Xenopus tropicalis: one gene and its partner. The protein of the gene in region 2 binds, or shares a complex with, the protein of the main gene of each other region. Links are inferred from orthologs where the notes say so. Each region holds a gene or a part of one and is shown on either strand. Other genes may lie near its edges.

Region 1 (4,244 bases), on a different chromosome or scaffold from region 2:
TTGCTAGTGACTACTCGGAAGTGTTTGGTGTAGGGCGGAGATTGGCGGTGTGTTGTATTGGAGGAACGGAGCTGTTTGAAGGTGCGTGCGGTGGGGTGTGGGAATTATCCGGTATTGTATCCCTATTTAACGGCACACGGCGCTATCCCCATGACGCACAGTAATAGCCTTATAGGTTCTGGTACACAGCCTGTGAATAGTTCAGCCACATTGTTCTGAGTGCCCCATACTGGCATCTGTATGGCTGTAAAGTAAATGACAATACTGTCTGCTATATAGCCGTATAGCTTATATGTGTATATACAACACGTTGTGTATGCCTGCCTGCTATAGGCAAAGCCTGGGGGTCATAGTCATTAATAATATATATATACACAGAGAGGCGCACACCCTTCACAAAACCAGATGCCCTGGGTGCAGGTAAAACATAGAATATAAAGAAAGGGTAATGCACACACTGTGCTCAAAAAGTTGGATTTTTTTCAATAAACACTTTTTTTCTTGGCATTAAGTCCCTGTGTGTGCAGTATACATATATATATATATATATATATATATATATAATACCTTTCGGTCCACACTCCCATTAAACACACTTACTCCATACTTGATTGCAGGGTGCTGCACCTGGTTGTAGCTTGTATTCATTACAATTGATGATGCGCACTCCTGTATTTTTTTTAGTTCATTTATTGTTACATTATAAAGTTAAAAACATCAACGTTTCGGACCAGGTCTAGGACCTTTATCAAGATGTTAAGCCATAAAAAGTCACACACATAATGAGTCTTTATATAATACAAAATGCCTAACCCCGCCCACATTGAGCAGAGCCCCAACCCCAAATTGTGAATTAAAGAAAACACATCAGTACAATTAATTAATTGTAATAGTGTTTATTAATTGTACTGATATGTTTTCTTTAATTCACAATTTGTGTATTTTATTACATTAACATTTATTTATAAAGCGCCAACATATTCCGCAGCGCTGTACAATAAGTGGGTTACATACATTGGACATACAGAGTAACATATAAAGCAATCAATAACCAATACAAGAGGTGAAGAGAGCCCTGCCCAAAAGAGCTTACAATCTACAAGGAGAAAGGGTTGAGACACAAGGTGTGGGAATGGGCATGGCCAGAGTTGTGAGAGGTGTGGCACAGGGTATTGCTAAACTAGATTAGGGTAAGCCTCTCTAAATAAGTGTGTTTTTAGAGATCTCTTGAAGGCAGAGAGATTGGGAGAAAGTCTGACAGTTTGTGGGAGCGAATTCCAGAGAAGGGGGGCAGCCCTTGCAAAGTCTTGAATGCGAGCGTGTGAGGAGGGAATGAGAGAGGAGTTGAGGAGCAGGTCAGTATGTGCTATACAGGATACCTCGTTTCGTACGATAATCGGTGCGTGTATGGCATGTCGGCGAGTCGACCGATATCGCAGGAATCTGCTGATATCGGCCGACTCGCCGATCGGACCAGTTTGAAAATTTTGATCGGGCGCCATAGAAGGCGCCTGACCAAAATTCTCCCTTCAGAGCTGAATCGGCAGAAGGAGGTAAAAATCCTATTGTTTCTACCTTCTTACCTGCCGATTCAGCCTTGAAAGGTGTGTGGCGGATCTGACAATGTTTCGTGCGACCGATGGTCGTACGAAACATCGTCAGATCGCCACGTGTATGGCCAGCTTAAGGGTTGTGAAATGGGGTTGGGGCTATGCTCAATGTGGGCGGGGTTAGGCATTTTGTATTATATAAAGACTCATTATGTGTGTGACTTTTTATGGCTTAACATCTTGATAAAGGTCCTAGACCTGGACCGAAACGTTGATGTTTTTAACTTTATAATGTAACAATAAATGAACTAAAAAAATACAGGAGTGCGCATCATCAATTGGAATGCATATATATATATATATGTGCTGCACACACAGGGATTTATATTGTTATTTGTATGTAACTGAATGGGCTTTTTCTTTCTGTGTCACAGGTTCTCCTACTCACTTCATAATGGGGGAGCCTCAGCAGGTCAGCGCTTTGCCTATACCTCCCATGCAGTACATTAAGGAGTACACAGATGAAAACATCCGCAAGGGCCTGGCCCCCAAGCCTCCCCTCCCCATAAAGGACAGCTACATGATGTTTGGCAACCAGTTTCAGTGTGATGACCTTATTATCCGCCCTCTGGAAACTCAGGGCATCGAGAGGCTCCACCCCATGCAGTTCGACCATAAGAAGGAGCTGAGGAAGCTCCTTATGTCCATCCTGGTCAACTTTCTGGATATGTTGGACATCCTGATCCGAAGCCCAGGCAGCATCCGAAGGGAGGAGAAACTGGAGGACCTAAAGTTGTTATTTGTTCACATGCACCACCTTATTAATGAGTACAGGCCCCACCAGGCACGTGAGACCCTGCGGGTGATGATGGAGGTGCAGAAACGTCAGCGGCTGGAAACGGCAGAGAGGTTCCAGAAACATCTAGAGCGAGTGGTGGAGATGATCCAGAACTGTCTGGCATCGCTACCCAATGACCTCCCTCTTTCTGATGGCGCAGTCAGTGTAAAAACTGAACCAATGGATGTTCGGGAACCCTGTACGGACCATCATGCGGGGCCCCAGGAGGCAGCAGCAGCTTCTCTGAAAGAGACCACAATTGATAAGGATGCAGCTATGTGTGTTATCATCGATGAAATGACCTAGTCCAATAAGCAGTTCTAATCAGGACTCTTGAACTTTAGAAGTCACAAGGATTCATTGAAATGCAATAGCATGGCTCTATGTGTTGGTTGTATTCATCATGGGACTTGGCAAGGAAAATGTTTGTCCCAAGGGAACTCAGTCACAGCTATTGCTCATGTACATGTCTGTTTATTGTGCTTTTCTGCCATGCTTTTGAAAAGGCAGTATGCAAGAAGGCTAATATTTTTCAGTGTTTTCCCTGCCAGTTCATGTGTATGAGGAATGGAAGGTTGTAGTTCTGCAACACCTGGGTGGTAACTGCTTATTTGTGATTAAACAGACAAAGGACTGGGGTCAGACTTTTGAATGTTATCTAACTGATATACTATGTATGGAATCTACTCATTGCAAGTTATGTTTGTACAGTTATTCACATGTTCTGAGATATCAAAGTTTATTTAAAAGTTAATATTACAATTGTTTGTATCTTTTTCTCTCTGAATTGGAATATTTTAGTCTCAGATTGGTTTGGAGCATGAAAATCCCAAAATGGGTGCTGTTATCTGTTATAGGAGAAGTCCATATTTTGAAATGCTCGCCTTTACAGTTTATCATGTTTATTTACTTTAATATTTGTATTACTGCATTATAGTTTTAACCCTCTGTCACTTCTAGCATCTTTCCTATTAATTATCCACCTCCATTAAGGATGCTGTGTGCATTCACATTACATGCAAGCTTTCTATCTCCCCTGTGTCAGCCTTTGTGACAAAGCAAGGGTTAAATGACTGTGCTTAGGTTGGGATCAAATTCATGAATGGTAGCAATGAATATACATTTTATCATGATAGGAGGATGCTATGCTGCACTGTAAATAACAACACACTGTGAGCACTAAGGTGCAGGGACAAGAGCTGCTATACAGAAACAAAAACATGAGTACCAGGATCTGTGCATTTACAACATTCCATCCTCATTCTGATTGGTAGAATGGATATGTTTAAGTAAGCTCCACCCTGCAGTCTACAGATGCTGGCCAAAATATTTGGAAGGTAAACTTGTTGGCTGCCCCAGCCAGTTGTTATTTTCAGAAGGGTGGTGCTGTGGGCACCTAGGCCTTATTTCCTAAGGAGGTTGGTGAGATTACAGGAATCCCCATCAGTTGCAGGACAGGTGGCACTTACCAGCCTCTTTCTCATGGTCAGACCCCTGTACCTGTAGAAAAAAAAATACAACAAAAGGAGGAGGGCTGTGAAGCAAAATTTTTAGATCCTGCTACCCTTTAATATCTGTAGTTCATAGGAGCCAACTATGACTGCTTCAACAAAGGCTCCATATAGACAAGTGGGGTCATTTATAAACACTGGGCAAATTGACAGCTGGGCAGTAACCCATAGCAACCAATCAGATTGTTCAACTTGCAGCTGGCTGAAAAAAACTGTTCACTGATTGGTTGCTATGGGTTACAGCCCAAGTGCATATGTGCCCAGTGTTTATAAATGCACCTGAGGAAGGCTGTTTAGCCGAAACATGTAGTGCTTAAAGATGTCTCATTAAAACTACACTGCTTC
Region 2 (4,713 bases):
CAGCAAATTGCAACATTTTTAGGCGATTTTCTGAAATGTCATAAAAATCGGCAGGAAACAGGAAAAGCTTTGTGCTTGGTACTTTGGAGTAAAAAGAAATGTGTACCCATTATAGATTCGGGGGAGTGTACTTTTTTGTAGCATTATCCCACATAAAGGATGTAATTGTGTTGCAGGAGCTGAAATGACAGATCATATGGGGGTATGTTCCCATTGGGGCCCCTACATGCCACATACTTAGGTAAACCTATACATATTGGGCATCAAACTGTTCAGTGGACCCCAGGCATTCAAATTTAGGGTGTTTTATCTTGGTATCTAATGATATGCGGGAGATAAGGTTCTGCAAAGTGGAAGCTTTGAGGGGATTTTTGGAAAAAATTTCTAACTTTAGAAAAGCTTTGCAGCTTGGTACTTTGGAGTAGAAAAACATGGGTATCCATTTTAGATTCGGGGGAATGTGTACTTTCCAAAAATATATGACTTTCTGGGGTGAGCGTACTTTTTACTAGCTTTATCCCACATATAATGATGTAAATGTGTTGATTTTGCTGGAGCTGAAATGACAGAAATGATAGATCATATGGGGGTATGTTCACATTGGGGCCCCTACATGCCACATACTTAGGTAAACCTATACATATTGGAATTACACCAAAACTCTACCATATTTTGAAAGCTTAGGTTGTCCTGAAAAAAACAATGTATTGTTTTCCTGGGTAAACTAAAAGTCCCCCCGAGGAAAGGCCCCTAAAGTGAAACAGTGCAAAATGTTCAAAAACTGTCTGGCAGTACAAGTTCCGCTTTGTCCAAAACCCCTGGCAGTGAAAGGGTTAACAGATGTTTGAATACATTTTGATAGTTTAAAAACAACTTCGGTATGTACAGTATTTAGCAGAATTAAGTCTTTTTTTCCTTGAGGTGTAAATAGACTGCCGAGTCTTGTCCTGAGGAGTTGGCCACAAATTTAGCAATGTTCCTCAGGCTAACATCTTAGCTCCCTTAGTTGGAAACATAGTACACCACATTCAGAGCTCCATGGACTTTGTCAAAAAAGTCCAGGAGTTAAATCTGGATATCAATGAAACAATGGTGTCCTCTGATGTTACATCTCTGTTCACATGCATACCCACTACCGAGGCAATTGAAACAGTGAGGAAACGGCTGAAACAAGACACCCCCCCCTCAGCAGCAGAACAAAGCTGAACCCAGAACACGTTTGTTCCTTACTGGACCTAAGTCTGAATACTGGTCTATGCTGTCCAGTGCAGTGCAGTGAAGAGTGCTCTGACATATACACTGGGGAGACAAAACAACCTCTCTGTAAGAGAATGGCCCAACATAGGAGGGCTAACTCCTCAGGACAAGACTCAACAGTCTATTTACACCTCAAGGAAAAAGGACACTCTTGAGGACGGTGATGTGCATATTTTGGACAGAGAGGACAGATGGTTTTAAAGAGGTGTGAAAGAGGACATTTATGCATGCCTGGAAAAACCATCCCTAAACAGAGGGATTACCCCGGCAGTATCACAACAGTTTACACTGAACCCCTCTGTAACTGCTCAGGGGTCCAGGTGAAGTCAGACAATTTATTGGGGGTCACGGGAGTTTGCCCCAATTTTAAACCCTTCACACTGCTCTGCCTTGTCATTGCTTGATACAATGGTTGCATATGTTTTAACGTAAAGTACACAATTCATGTAACGTCACACTACGCATCCAGGGTAGGAGGAGTGAGTTTTATGAATTCTTATGGAAGGGGGGAGGAGGAGAGGGGAGAAATGAGAGAACTGCGCAGACACTGGCACCTAGAATGAAGGATTTTTCTGAGAAGAAATCAGATACCCCAAGAACATGTTTACAAAAAAGGAGACAAGAAATCCGCAGTTTCTTTTGATAGAGTGCAGCTTTTCTGTGAGTGCTTATGGCTTTATTTACATAGACCTTTCTGAAAAAGCTTACTTAGTTTTTACCTTTCCTTCTCCTTTAAAACACAAGTGCTTTAATGAGAGGGAAGTGTGCATCTTGCCCTTATTACATGTGACGAAACTGTGACTGTGGCACATTTTTCCCAAAAACATTGTGGTGTGCCCCCCCTCCCCCACTGGTGTCTCACCTGACAGGTAACCCCAGCAGCGCTGCATAAAAATAGCCATTTCTGTCATCGAGAGGGTATTTGTCAGGTGAAATATTTTTCACATTTTGGCATTGCCCCACTAGGTAGAGGATACTTGGTTCTTGTCTGTACAGTTACCCTGGCAGCTGTTTCTCTGTGTACAGTCAGGGAGATCTAGTGAGCAGGCCTCTTATGTCTTGGAAGAGATATTCCTGCTGAGGAACAGCAGGTACAGGCAAGAGGTCAGAATTTTTTTTTGTCACTTTTGATTATTATTGACTGGCAGGTTTAGAGGGGGCGTAATCTCCCAAAACCTCAAAGTGATACTGACATGAAAAAACTACTTTTGAAAATATTAATGTATATAAAAAGTTGCCTATGGGTCATTTTGACCATTTTTCACCGATAGGGCTCCTTTTGTAAGTAAGTGTTACTTAAAGTTCCTGAACCTGACTGTTCCTTTTCAACCTGTCAGTTATAGCTTCTAATGCTAACGGACTTCTGCTGCACAAATGCCCCCTGATAGAGGAACATGGGGATCAGATAGGTAATGTAAAAGCATCAGGAATTATGTTTTGGCAAAATTATAAAGATGATTCACAGACAATGTAATGATTTATTTAAAAGACAGTTTTATTTTAAGCGTCAATATCTCTTTAAAGGAACAGTAACACAAAAAATAACTTTTAACATGTCCCTTCTAAATACTTTATTAAGATATGTAGCATTTAAAAAAATGCAATATTCTACGTGATTTCAGAATAAATTACATTACCAATGCTTTACTGTGCAGAGCTTGAAAAGGCAATCCGGTAACTGCTAGACTTTCGGTTTAATCTGGAAGTTAATATGCTGCATTCTTCAGAGTCTATTTTGAGTGATTTTTCGCTATTAGCAGATGGGGCATGGAGAGGAAATCAGAGACGTAAAAAAACACAACTGCTATGGAAATTTCTATATGATTTATTTAATAATCAAAGTGTATAGAAAGGATATTTTGAAGGGAAAAAAATTGTGTTACAGTTCCTTTAAAAAAAGAAATCCACCCATGTTGGCAAGGCCACATGAGAATAGACAGTGCTTGTATTGCTATTGTATACTGAAATGATGATTCTGTACAGAGTTGCAAAGTAGCCTGAATTTACCTCATGAGGCAACTTTGGGCTACTTTAGAAAGCGTAAGCAACACGTTTTCCCCCCACTGGTGTTACATATTACTGCTGATGGGAAGTTTTGTCACCCACAGTAGCACAGGCAACAAAATGTACGGTCACTGCCATTTTCCTTAACTGGAAACTACCTTTTCTACTACAATTAATATCTGACTGTTTAGCAAGTAGTCAGATTTTAAGAACTCTGCACAAAAAGTGTCTAAAAGTTAAAGACTATTATCACAATAATTATATAAAATGTTGAAGTAACTATTATCACTATATATTAGATTAAAAAATTTTGCATCATACCAAAGCTTTGTAGGTACTGCCTGGCCAAAGCAAGTATAAAGAAAACTATATACCTGAACAATGTGCATCTCTATAAAAAAATAAATAAATATATGTTGAATAAAAACAGCCTATATGTAAAACCCAGTTTTATCTAAATAAACTATTCATAAAAATATTTATTAATTGGTTTATGTTACCTAACTAATGCTTTATTCCCCCCACCCTTTTTGTCTGTTATTCCCTGAGCACCAAAAAAAAAAAAAACATTATACTCACTGGTCCAGTGTGCAGTCTGAATCCAGTCAACAAGGCACCTGTTAGTGGAGTGAAGGAGTTTCCACAGATCGGTGGCTTTTCAATCAGTGAACGTAGACTGCTGTTATCCTGAGCGCCTGGAGTATCAATCATACCTACAAAAAGTAGACACAGAAATGCCACTTTCGTTAATTAGTTTTATTACATACTCTGCTTTCTAGTCCAAACTATAACATTGCTATTTTATTTGTTAATTTTTATTTTACTTACAAATTATTATTTCAGTCAAGGATGAGGATATAAAAGAACAAGGCCACAGGCCTTAGTTTGGTCAATTTGCTATGGGACCAAAATGTAAATATAAATATATATATATATATATCTTTATCTATATAAAATCTACAGTTTGGTCATTTCCCTATGGGGCTAAATGAACGGATAAAAAAGGTAAAAGCAGACTAAAATGTGTCCTTTTGTAGTACATAAAGCAAAGCCAGAGAACTTAAAGAAGAAAGAAAGCAGTTTTCAATCAACTACACTAAAATGTTCCTTAGAAGCCCCCTCCTGAAACGCTGTTTTATTTTTTTAAATATAATTACATAATTATCGCACCAATGCATAGAAGTTCGGCTTCTTTCCAGAGTTTGTGGCCGCCATTTTATTTATTTGAGACCACGTCACTTCCCTCTGTCTATGCTTCATACTGCACATGCACCTCCTAGTGACCCCACACACGCTCTCCCAGTAGATAATGTAAACAATTAGTTATGCAGGATTAGTACAGACCTCAGTCGCTTCTGTTCAGGGTGTTGCTATAGTAATGCTCTGTGCAGAAGCGTAACTGTGATTGGCGATGCGAGCCGACAGGAGGGGCAGAGAGGTCAATGATAAGGC

The links.
Region 1: med19 (region 2) and med7 share a complex: the UniProt entries of both Homo sapiens proteins name them as parts of the mediator complex. The link is inferred for Xenopus tropicalis from reciprocal best matches to the Homo sapiens genes MED19 and MED7.

Annotation. Positions count from the first base shown.
Region 1 is NC_030679.2:14,183,518-14,187,761, forward strand, and holds med7 (mediator of RNA polymerase II transcription subunit 7), read left to right. Parts: upstream 1-1,973; 5' UTR 1,974-2,004; coding exon 2,005-2,694; 3' UTR 2,695-3,341; downstream 3,342-4,244. UniProt on the Homo sapiens protein: Component of the Mediator complex, a coactivator involved in the regulated transcription of nearly all RNA polymerase II-dependent genes.
Region 2 is NC_030683.2:55,877,800-55,882,512, reverse strand, and holds part of med19 (mediator of RNA polymerase II transcription subunit 19), read right to left. Parts: intron 3,975-4,713; coding exon 3,841-3,974; intron 1-3,840. UniProt on the Homo sapiens protein: Component of the Mediator complex, a coactivator involved in the regulated transcription of nearly all RNA polymerase II-dependent genes.